3 linked regions of the Mus musculus genome follow. The protein of the gene in region 2 interacts with the protein of the main gene of each other region in a biochemical or structural test. Links are inferred from orthologs where the notes say so. Each region holds a gene or a part of one and is shown on either strand. Other genes may lie near its edges.

Region 1 (3,807 bases), on a different chromosome or scaffold from region 2:
GCAAACTAGGCGTGGTGGTGTGCATGTGTGACTTGAGCACTCAAGAACTGGATGCATGAGAATCGGGACTCCAAAGTTACCTTTATACACATAGTGAGTTTGGGTCCAACTTGAGTACTTGATCCTGGCTCCCAGAGTATTAAGAAACCAAACTAAATAACCACAAACCAACTTGACTCTAATGTTCATAGCCAAAACAGATGGAGACTCGAAGGCTTTGGGTAGTTCCTGTGTGGAACAGGATGGGGCCAGAAAGCAAGCTAGGACTGGGAAAGATCCCAGGGGAGACAGGTGTGGGAATTGGGGGAGCTCAGCTGGGACGGCCGCGTGCCGTGGAGGGGAGTTGCATTGCAGTAGTTGCCCCTCAGGATGAGGAGTGATGGTTGCGGCATCCTGAGCCCCTCTATCCTGCTCTGGCCCACAGGGCTCGGATGGCGTCTGGGCGGCCAGAGGAACTGTGGGAAGCCGTCGTGGGGGCCGCCGAGCGCTTTCAGGCCCGCACTGGCACAGAGCTGGTATTACTGACTGCAGCGCCACCGCCGCCGCCCCGCCCTGGACCCTGTGCCTATGCCGCCCATGGCCGCGGAGCCCTGGCAGAGGCGGCCCGACGCTGCCTCCACGACATCGCACAGGCGCACAGGGCTGCCACTGCCACCCGACCTCCTGGTCCCCCACCAGCACCACAGCCGCCCAGCCCTGCTCCTAGTCCACCACCTCGGCCAGCCCTGGCCAGGGAGGATGAGGAGGAAGATGAGGACGAGCCCACTGAAACAGAGACATCTGGGGAGCGGCTGGGCGGTAGCGATAATGGAGGTGAGCTAATAGGGCTGGCACTGCAGTGGGGTTGCTGGTTAACTGGACACTTGTCCAGGGTGTTCTGTGGGTCCTTGGCGCTGCATTCCTTCCAAGCCTCACACAAGAGCCAACCACTTGATGGGAGTAATAACACAATAATGTTGTGCAAATGTAGCACACCAGGGTTGGGAGATTGCCTTTGAGAGCTTCTTGTCTGGCCAAGCAACTGGTGAGAAGTGCGGGTGTTTCTGGAAAGGGGTAGGGGCTGCCATCCCAGCCAAGGGAGACACAAGTTTCCCAAGAGTGGGACATTGCTACAGCTGCGGAGGCCAGGGCTGGAGATGGTTACAAGTACACATCTCCTGGCATGTTAAGGCCAAAGACAGCATTTTCCATACCCCATGCCATCCCACTGTGGGCACCTGGGTCTAGGGACTGCTGTTTGGGGAGAATAAGGAAGTTGGATGCTTCTCCCAGAAAGTACTGTCACCACAGGACTTTGAGGAGTGAATGGGAGTTACTCATTTGCCATCATTGCCTGTGGCTGGCACCTTGCCTTTCCTAAAGAAGCCTGCCTTCCATGAAGGCTATGGGCCCTATACCCAGGTGTTCTGGTATCAGATCTTTGAAACCAAACTCAGGGAAGTGACATGGTATTGGGATCTTTTATTTGTCCCCACCAGACCATCTTTCTTTGGGAGTTATTTTTGGGCCATGTCCCAAGCACCATTTTGACTCTGGTAGTACCTGATAATGGGAGGGACCCTCAGTGACCAGGGAGGCAAATGAAAAAGTGTTGAGACCCGGGGGCCGACTGCAGGGCCTGTCTCCCCCTCAGGTCTCTTCATGATGGATGAGGATGCCACCCTCCAGGACCTGCCCCCCTTCTGCGAGTCAGACCCGGAGAGCACAGACGGTGAGGATCCTGGGTTGTCCAAGCCCTAGGAGGCCAGGCAGAGGGTAGGGGGGCAGAAGCTGAAGCTTCCCTGTATCATAGACGGCAGCCTGAGCGAGGAGACGCCCGCCGGTCCCACAGCCTGTCCCCAGCCCCCGGCCACAGCCCTGCCTACCCAGCAGTATGCCAAGTCTCTGCCCGTGTCGGTGCCAGTGTGGGCCTTCAAGGAGAAGAGGACAGAAGCCCGATCGTCAGATGAGGAGAATGGCCCGGTGAGGGGGGGAACGAGACAAGTGTTCTGCCGAGAGGAGCCCCACTGTAGTTTAGGAGAAAGGCCCCTCCCTCGTCTATCCAAAGTCGTTTGGGAGGGAGTCAGGGAAACTGAAGCTCCGGGTTAAAGCAGTGGTCTTTGGCTGGACTGCCCTGACCTGGCGCCCCCTTCACAGAAAACTCCCTAAAGTAGAGGGGACAACAAGGCACTGAGTGATCACATGACACCCCGCTCGGGGCGCCAGCGCCTTCATAGCTGCTCTACATATGGCAACCCCCTAGATTCAGGTGGGATGCCTGCTGTCTTGGCCGAAGCGTGGCCGGACCGGGCACCTTGCACTGGGCTCCTGCTTCTTAGCAGTGGTAGAGTTGAAGAAGGAGGTGGGATGCGGAACGTGCCGGTTCGCAGCCTGCAGGACAGACAGTCCGGAATGGCGGGCTTCCGGGAGGCGGGCCCTGCACACTGACAGTTTCCTTCTCTACAGCCCTCCTCGCCCGACCTAGACCGAATAGCGGCCAGCATGCGCGCGCTGGTGCTGCGGGAGGCTGAGGACACCCAGGTCTTCGGGGATCTTCCGCGGCCGCGGCTCAATACCAGCGACTTCCAGAAGCTGAAGCGGAAATATTAAGCGAACAGAAAGCCTTGGCCTGCGAGAGGCCACTGCCTCTCGGCCCAGCAAGAGAACAATTCTTTCCGGGATTGGCTGGCTCAGGTTGGGCGGGGCCGGTTCTAAACGCTCCAAGGGTCAACTCTGTTTCTTGCCTAGCAAACGAAGCTTTGCCCGCACAGCCTTGACTCGCGGCCCCAGGGCGGAGCCCAGCTGCGGGAGCTGCCGCTGCTCAGCCAGTGTCGGGAAGAGTTGCCCGCCAGCCTTCCAGAGTTCCCCTACCCGATTGGTCCCGGCCTCCTGGGAGTGTGGCCAAGCCCTCCCTAACCCAGAATTGGCCCGAGGCCTTTAATTTCTTACACTACTAGGGCTGTTAATCAATTGTTTTTGTTTTTGTTGTTTTCTTTGCCTGAGTCCTGACAATTGTATCCCGGTTCCCCAGGGGACAGTCTGGGTCCCTCTCTGGTCTGACGCTCCCTATAGGTTCCACCGCACGACAGCCTGTCCATCAAAACTTGTCCTGTACCCAGGACAGTACCAGCTTCCTGTCCCCCGACCCTAACAGGTGCCTTAAAAGGCCCTCTCCCACCCAAGGTGGGGGGGCCAGGGGGGCCTCACTTTCCGGCCCTAGACTTGGGTGCGGGAGAGTGGGATGGGGGTAGGGAGGGGCGCTCTGAGATTAAAGTTTTACCTCTGACTAGTGAGTTCGTGTTGTGTGTGAGTGTGATGCTATGAAGCGTTCATGACAATTAAATGAAGTTCAGGGTTCGACACCCAGTCTTGGGGGCGTAACTGTGGGAGCGGTAGAAAGGCAAACCAGGGAATCTCCATTTCCCAACATCCAAAGATGAGAAAGGGGGCTAGAGGGGCTAGAGGACTGTCACCTTCACACTATTAATATTAATATGGATTGCCTCCCTTTTGTTACTTTGCTTTTTGGGATGATTTCACTTTGTAGCCCAGCCTTTCTCTTCAGTTTTTGTGCTGGGATTTCCAATCTGCCCCATCATACCGAGCTTTAGCGTATTTGTCCCAGAATTAGAAGCGATTTTCCCACTTTATTGCAAAGGGACCGGCATCATAGAAGCAAAGGAAGAGTGTATAGTGATGCTATGCGCTTCAAATGCTAAGGACAAGCTGGTTTGTTTCCGCTGCTACGCAGAGGAATGATGAAGGCGCACATCTGTCATTCCATCAGCAGGGAGATGGGTTTAAGGAGGCACAGGTGTTCACGTCAGT
Region 2 (4,226 bases):
CTGCTGGGTCAGTAAAGACCCCACCACCACCACCACCACCCCCGCCCCGGTTCCACATTGAAGAGCTAGGCAGACCCAGGCCGGCCTGCTTCTCCTGTGGAGTGCGGACTTACCTCGTTTGTGCAGCCAGCCCTCCTTCACAATGGCTACGTCGTTCATGGTATCCGTGGCCCCCAGAGACAGGGGTAACCCAGGGATGATGCTCAGAGTCTCTTCTCGGTAGGCTGAGCCCAGCCGGCCTGGCCGCAGCGTCTAGAAGAAGCCGAGAAAGCACGTGAGACAAGGTCCCACTTGGGACTAGCTTCCGTGAGCCCCAGAGGGCCCACAATTACCCATGTCCCCTCATGTGATCTACCCATCTCTGGTTCCCAGGTTCCCTCCTCACCCTTACTCCCTGCCAGCCTGCCTGACGTGTCTCCAAAGGTTGCTATAGAAGACCTCCCTCCAGTAGTAGATGCTACACACCCAGATCTAGGCCTGGTAGTCCGGGGTGCAAGGCTGTGGCCAACCCCCATCATCCTGGTCTCTGCTAGAAACATTCATTTCCAGAAGGCTTTTCCTGTTAGGCAGCTTGTTCAATTTGCTACCCCAGCAGATTAGGCCACCTCCTCCAGGCAGCCCTGACTGCTTCTGCTCTGCCTCGCACTAGTGAGGGGTGCTTACCACTGTCTCACCACCCCCTACAGTCTGGGAGGCCTACTGCAGGTCGCAGGGTCCCTACGGCTCACGTTAGGAACGCGGGAAGGCCAACACTGGAGAGCACAAGTAGAACAGGCACGGTATGAAGCTGAGCCCAAAGTCCTTCAGGACAACACTAAAAACTCCTCAGGCAGAACCCCAGACCCCTTGGGAACACAGCACCCTGCCTGTGAAGCTGTCCCCTTCACTTGGTGAGTACACACTAGGCACATATGGTTCTGTCGAGCCTTCACCCTACGCCTGAGACAGAGAGACTCTGAGACAGCCTGCTGGGAACACCCAAAGCAGTGGTTACGACCCACAATTACAGTATCCGGGAGCCCACAAACAGGGCAGGTAACACACAAGGGTCCTGCAGCGGCCAACTAGCTAGCCTGTGCAAAGCAAAGGGTGCCAGCTCACCTCGCAAAGATCCCCCCGCCCCCCAATTGCTTCTCTTCCAGAGGGACACCTAGGTATCCTTCAAATATCCCCAAGTCTGGACATTCTGGGAAAGTGCACCTGAACAGCCCTTGACCAGCAAGCCTGTGTTGTCCCTCCACCTGGAGTTCATGTGGACAATCCCCAGGAAAAGACTGGAAGGCCGCCGTGGAATAGATCCCAACTAGGGTCTACTACAGCTGACTGGCAACCCCCTATGTCATCTCTCTAGCCCAGAAGACACAAGCTGGCACCCAGAGTCTCTGTCACTTTGCCTTGTATGAAGCTAAATGTGGAACAAAAGGGAGGCCGGCTGCTATGTGTCAAATGCCAAATGCCAAAGTAGGAAAGACCACACCTGGCCCAAGAAGGAAAGAGCCCTTCCCTCAGCAAGCAGGTGGCGACTAAAAGCCAGAACGAAAAAGATAAGCCAAGAAGAAATCCCAGCTCAGTGACTGTCAGAGTGGGTGTGGCCTGGAGGCAGAGGGCTGTACTGCAAGATCTCTCTCGGTGGATGTCCCCTACCCCCACCCAGCCCCAAGGTCTGCTGATGACAGTCAGCTGTCCAGAGCCGTGTAAAAATAAATTCATACACACGGAGTGAAGAAACACAGCCATGTTAACGCCAATGTCCACATCAAGCCGACTTAAGCATGGGACACTCTTCCCACCATGCCATGCCGTAAGGGCATATGGTTGCTATTGTTAAGTCTTAAGAGTTCAGCCCCTCTGGGACACTGGCCCGTGAGCCACACGCCCAGCTGGGGCCCCACCAAGGCGACTCGCCCTTCACTTTAGTGATGGCTCTAGGCAGTCAAGGCTAGCCACCTGGAGCAAGACCAGGGGCCTGGGGGAAGGAGGAGTTTGGCCACACAGCAGAGGCCCAAGGTTCCACCACCGCCCAACTTAGAAACCAGTCCTCTTTAGACAATTCCATCAGCTCAGCCAGTATCCCGGATCCGGGAGACCGAGTCCACGCCGTCCTCAAGGCCCCCCCCCCCCCCGGCACCTCCAGAAACCACCTAGTCCAGGAAGCAGCTTCCGGGCCCAGGAGGGTTAGCAGTCCTTTGTGGGCTAGCCTGGGCACTGTGCCACCGCGCACAACTTTCTGTCCGTGGGAAATGAGTTCTCCTTCCCAGGGCCCTCCCACCGCACGCAGGCCGCGGGGCGAGCCTTTCTCCTACCCTCGCTGGCCGAGTGCCCGGGCAGCCCCAGGCCCCAGGGCGCACCGGCCCCCACTGCGCACACCAACAGCGCCCCTCTCCCGCGACCTGGCCCCGTGGAGCGGCCACCCAAGGTCACGCAGCGGCCGCCCGCACCCTCGCCGGCGTGGGCCTCCTGCGCGACCAGCCCGGCCCCGCGCGCTCCCCGCCCAGGCCTCCGCTCGGCCACTTCCTGCTCCTACTCCGAGGCGCGGCGCGGCCGGGAACAAAGCGGGGTGGCCGCGGCCCGGAACAGGGCGCGGCGCGGGCACTCACCGGGCCGCCGCGTGCGGGCGACTGGGCCTAGCCGGGCCGCGGCCTCGGGCGCCCGCCGCTCCGCATCCCGCGGGCGGGCGCTGGGCGGGGCCGGCTGAAGGCAGCGGCGTCCGGGCGCGCGCTGCTGGCCGGATCTGGGCCGCCGCGGTGCCGGCCACAGGACGCTGCTCGGTCCGCTCCGCTGGTCCCGGACTCGCGTGCGCTGCCGCGCTGGGCCGGCCGCCCGCCGACTCGGTGCTGCCGCCGCCGCCGCCGGCCCGCCTTCTCCCCGCCCCGCGCCCGCGCCGCCCGCCCACATCCGCCTCCGCCGCCCCGGGCGCCCCCGGCGCGGCCCGCGGCCAGGGCGAGGCACCCCGTGAGCGCGAGCGCGGCCCCGCAGGCGCCGCCCTCGGGTGGCCCCGAGCCAGGGCCACGCGGGTAACGGAGCCCCGCCGCAGATCCAGAGCTCCAGCTCTGGTCTGGGTTTCCCGGTTTGTGGGACCTGGCCCTTCCCTGCCTAGCTCTCCAGACCCCAAGGAGGGAGGCCAGCGTGGGAAGTGAATCAGTTTGACTCTCAAGAGGCCCAACTGTCCCCATCTTGGGAGCCGGGAGAGACCGGTCACCGGTGTCCTAAAGGCCAGCCAACACAAGAAAGAAGGCTATTGAGGGCTCATCCAACCCAGTACTGCCTGCCACAGCAACTGATAAGGACTCCCCAGGTGACAGGGAGGACGGGAGCACACCTGGACACCCAGAGGGGGCAGATTCAGGGGTAGGACTCAGTCAGCCAAGACCTTGCTGTGGACTCAGATGGGTGAGGCTTGGGGGGCGGTTCCTTATGGTGTCCCGGAATTGAAGAGTCAAGGTGGTTCCTGCCTCTTATCCATCCTCAGTCCTTCCCCCTTCGGCCAGCCTCAGCAGTTCCTGCGCAGGGCCCCTCCCTCGTCCCAGAAGCCCGACTTGATAGTAACCCTTTTGTGAATTTACCTTCATGTGTTTGGTATTTTTAACCAGGGGGCATTTTTTGTTTTTCATACAAGGGTCAGAGTTCACCAGGAGTGTAAACAAGAGGGTAGATTTAGTAGTCCACGCTATCGCCCAGGATGGAAATCGGAGCTCCTTCTCGGGCTCCTGGGGCTGACCTGGGAAGCACACCCCACTCCCGGAGAAGAACTCACTCTCCTCTCAGCCACGCCCCATACCCTTCAGACGGGGATGGGGATGGGGGGCTCTGTTCTGTGCCCTATCTGCTGCACAGCTGCCCCAGCTCAGAGAGCCTCCAGGGCGCTAAGTCAGAGGCTCAGCAGCAGTTCTGTTCTGCTCCAGCAGTATCCCTGACCCTGAGAGTGGCCTTCAGAGGCTGAGAGTCACACAAATATCCATCACTCGCCCAGCAAACCTTCACCCCAGGCCCCCAACTCCTCCTCTCCTACTTCCCCCATCCCGTTGCTACACAGTTAGAGCCAGCAGGGCGCCCTCTTGTGGAACACAGCAATTTCTGGCTGTTCTCTAGTGACCCTTCTCACTCGGATGCTCTTCCTGGAAGCCACTGTTGGAGACAGCTCCTACCTGTGGTGAGCCCTGTTTCTATGCAGTAACCAGTCCCGCCTCCCTTCTTTGTGTCTCTATCTTCCCCCGAGTCCGGAGTGG
Region 3 (3,609 bases), on a different chromosome or scaffold from region 2:
TAATCCCTAAGCTATGAAGAAATCAGCTGGGCCTCTGCCCATCCATCAGGTTCTGAGGTCCCCAAGTTTCAGACAGCTGGCCTCAGAGCCCGAGCAAACAATGTGATGAAGAATCAGAAGTCATGAGCTCACCCTCAGGACCAAGCGCCATCAGGGGCAGGCAGGATGGCCAGCCCCCACTCACCTCTGCCTTATACATTCGAATGAGGCCCTGGTTCACTTTAGACCAGGAGGGGACAGCACTGATGTTCCACAGCTGGTTGGAGTGTTCCGCAAAGGGGCCAGTCTTCATCTGGAAAAGAAGTCCAGGAACTAGAGAGGCAGTATGCAGGCGTGCACACACACAGACACGCACATGCACGCACACACACACCACAGCCTTGACCTACAAGGCCTGTTGAAAAAACAGAACTTCTCTCATCTACAGCCTCTGCTTACCTCTTTCACACAGACAAAACAGAGGCTCCATCCCAATGTCTATCAAATTTAGCAACCCAGGAAGAGACCATCCCTACCCTAAGAAAGTAGAATGTGTTCCTATGCAGACACACTGTAGGTGCGTGGTCTAGACCTGCCTGGAGGACAGGAAAGGGGCTGTGGACAGGCCCTGATGGATCTGGTCCTCTGAGACAGAGACAGAGATAGAGGGAGGCTCCAGATCAGTACAGGAGGGAAGTTTGTTTAACAAGGTCAAGAGTAGGGCAGAAAAAGCCACAGCAACAAGACGAGCAGGCACATGGATAGTCCATCAGTGCTCAAACTCTGACTGCAGGAAGGCAGAGCACTACTGCAGTCCAGTGCAGTCCCGGGGCATCAGAGCCTCGGCTGGGGCACAGGAATAGGGAAGCCTATGTCCCAAGTGCATCCTGCCAGTGAGAGTGCAAGGCCAGTCCATTTGTATTTACTAGCCATGCAGCCTGGCACGCCCTCCTCACTCCCTCCCCAGGTTACAGGCAGCATTTATTTTGGGGAACAGGGCTCAGAGGACAGCCCCATACTACACAGAAAGACTCTGAAAGGCTCTGTGAGCCTGGCAAAGTTTACAGTGCCCTCAGCTTCCGAGATGTATCCCAACACTCCTGCAAAGACTCCACCGTCAATCTCTCTACTTCCTTGCCCCAATTCTGCACACTTGCAGGCTGGAACTATGAAACAGGGTCCCCTACAGACCCCTGAGTGAATGACCACCTGCTTTGTCTCACAGCAGGTGCTCCAGGCTGGCTCAGCAAGGACCCTGCCTGGGGGACCAGCCTTGCTCACTAACAAGGGACATTCAAAACGGGCTGTCTGGCAGGCTGCAGAGCTAGAGGCAGGCCCAAGTTGTGTAGCTCAGTTATGTCCCTAGAGAGGCCACTTCACCCTCAAGGCCTTCAGGGCCTCAGGTCCCAAGTCCTTCAGAAGGAGGTTCTGCGACTCAAGAGAAAGGAAAAAAAATGAGGGAGAAAAGAAATTGGGGGTGAGAAGACGCCCCCAAAAAATCAGCTCATTCTAGCCACAAAGGGAGAAGAGAAAGAGCGAGAACAAGCAAGCAACTGCAGTCCCGCAGTGACCCCAGGGGAATCGTGTGAGTCAGAGCAGCCATATTGAGCAGGAAATTACTCACAGACGCTGCGTTCCTGCCTCTCCACTCCCCAGAGAATCGGCCTTTTGTAAATGGTTCCTCTGTCAGTAACTGGGGGGATGGGCAGGGTGGGGGAGGCTCAGCACAGCGCCTTCCTGTCAGCTCCTTCCCTTCCAGCTGAAATCTGATCCCTCCCTTCCCAAAACTCCAAATTTAGAAGCCAGATTGAAACTGAAATTCTTTTCCTGCCTGCCCTTGGCTCTTAAAGGCGCCAGGGCTACATTTCCTGAAGCAGTTGGAGCCCCGCAAGGTGGGCTTCCTCCGCTGTCACATCCAGTACTACTAGCAAAGCGGTCCTGACACAAGACCCAGCAAAGAGAAGTGGTTTCCTTCCCAACTTCCTTGGGTTTTGTTTGAGCAGTAAAGACTGCAGGTCTCCCTGACCAAAAGCCCTGAACACCCTGTAGGCTTCTGTGCCCTCTGGGTGAGACTGCTCACTTCCTGATGGGGGTTATAAGTAAAAACTGCCAACTTCATCAAGTAGGGGTGGGGAATATCTATACATCTGTATCCATTTCTCTGTCTGTTTAGCTGTCTATCTGTGAACAGCAGCAGCAGCAGAGCGCTACAACTGCCCAACCCAGGCAGGCAGCATGCCCTTGCCACCACAGTGCCTAGCAACCAACCAGAGCTTGACTGACCCAAGAGCCTGGAACCAAGAGAAAACCAAGCCTAGCAGAGAAGGTGCACAACCACTAAAAAGCTCCCCTCCCACTTCCTACCTCTGTTACTGAAGCCACCAGAGTTCAGTGCACTTTAGCGCCTCCTTGTGGTTATTTGGACTACCGTCTATGGGGTCCTCCATTCCAAACTTTGGAAAAGGTTTTGGGGTTTTATATCAGCCGAAACAAACACACACACTAAATCTTAGCATGGAATCCATCGATCTCCAGTCCCTGAAGCCCAGTCTCGCTAGCCTCCTTGTTAGAATTATTGACAGGGACGCAAGGGGCTTGGCCAGCCGCCAGAGGAAGCAGTAACAGCTCAGGCTTTGGCCTCAAGCAGCAAGCTCTGCAGAATCTGAAGCTCCTTCCCATTCAGCCCTAGCTCTCACCCTAGATCCTCCCTAGCCCCTCGCTGCACGCTCAAGTCCTGCAAAGCTATCTTTCAAGGCAGTGAGCCAGGCTGCCCCCAGTCCTTCTGACCTTGAGCCTGCCACACTGCTGAAGGCAGCATTATCTCCAAGAACCAAGTAGTGGCCGCCCAGCCGTCAGTCCCTGCTCCATTTGCTGACTTGGAAAAAAATGTGTCATTCCCCTCTGGCCCCTGGAGCTTGGCACAACCCTGAGGCAAATGCTGACCAGAAAGAACCTAGAGTCAAGGCTGCTAACCAGGCTTTTCCCTGCTCAGAGGCTCAGAACAGGGAGCCAAGAGAGTAGCATCCAGTCGGGAGACCACATGTAATTCCACAGGGCAAACATGCAGGAGGCACAGAAAGAGAAGCCAGGACCCTGTGAACTTGGGGTGAGACTTGATAGGTATAGGCAGAGAGAATGACAAGTTCTAACACCTCCCAGAATCAAGGCCCTGAGACTCTGGGTCCCTTGATGAGCTCCTGGCTCTTGTCCACAAGATTCTGAGAGGGAAAGCTGACATGGGCCCAAAGCCAAGAGTTTTCAGAGTCCGTGGGCTACCTTGGGGAGTGTTCCAGCACTATACTGTAGGGAATCCTGCCTCGGTGAGACAAGTACTTCCAGTTAGGGAATGTGCTGAGTAGTATGGGCCCAGTGACTGCCACCACAGGTGATGTTGGACCCAGTGACTGCCACCACAGGCTGCTTGTTTTCACCTCTCGAACACTGCTGAGGTACAGAGAGACAGAACTACTCCCAGCACTGCAGCTCCTCTAGGGATTTCAACCTGAGTCCATAACCTCTAACTTGATTGCACCCTAACACATTGCATGGCACCCTCTTAGGCCTGCTGCGGGTCACCAAGTCTAACTAACAACTACAATTTAACCCCTCAGCCCAAGAACCCCATGGGAG

Evidence for each region.
Region 1: of the proteins of Akt1 (region 2) and Akt1s1, one has a biochemical effect on the other in vitro, tested with the Homo sapiens proteins (2 studies listed by BioGRID). The link is inferred for Mus musculus from reciprocal best matches to the Homo sapiens genes AKT1 and AKT1S1.
Region 3: of the proteins of Akt1 (region 2) and Ptpa, one has a biochemical effect on the other in vitro, tested with the Homo sapiens proteins (2 studies listed by BioGRID). The link is inferred for Mus musculus from reciprocal best matches to the Homo sapiens genes AKT1 and PTPA.

The regions. Positions count from the first base shown.
Region 1 is NC_000073.6:44,852,147-44,855,953, forward strand, and holds the end of Akt1s1 (proline-rich AKT1 substrate 1), read left to right. Parts: intron 1-424; coding exon of another isoform or gene 425-431; coding exon 432-813; intron 814-1,633; coding exon 1,634-1,711; intron 1,712-1,792; coding exon 1,793-1,962; intron 1,963-2,445; coding exon 2,446-2,589; 3' UTR 2,590-3,275; downstream 3,276-3,807. UniProt on the Homo sapiens protein: Negative regulator of the mechanistic target of rapamycin complex 1 (mTORC1), an evolutionarily conserved central nutrient sensor that stimulates anabolic reactions and macromolecule biosynthesis to promote cellular biomass generation and growth.
Region 2 is NC_000078.6:112,671,403-112,675,628, forward strand, and holds the start of Akt1 (RAC-alpha serine/threonine-protein kinase), read right to left. Parts: upstream 2,875-4,226; 5' UTR 2,598-2,874; intron 2,538-2,597; exon of another isoform or gene 2,304-2,537; intron 253-2,303; 5' UTR 160-252; coding exon 114-159; intron 1-113. UniProt on the Homo sapiens protein: AKT1 is one of 3 closely related serine/threonine-protein kinases (AKT1, AKT2 and AKT3) called the AKT kinase, and which regulate many processes including metabolism, proliferation, cell survival, growth and angiogenesis.
Region 3 is NC_000068.7:30,439,973-30,443,581, reverse strand, and holds part of Ptpa (serine/threonine-protein phosphatase 2A activator), read right to left. Parts: intron 1,730-3,609; exon of another isoform or gene 1,604-1,729; intron 293-1,603; coding exon 185-292; exon of another isoform or gene 133-184; intron 1-132. UniProt on the Homo sapiens protein: PPIases accelerate the folding of proteins. It catalyzes the cis-trans isomerization of proline imidic peptide bonds in oligopeptides. Acts as a regulatory subunit for serine/threonine-protein phosphatase 2A (PP2A).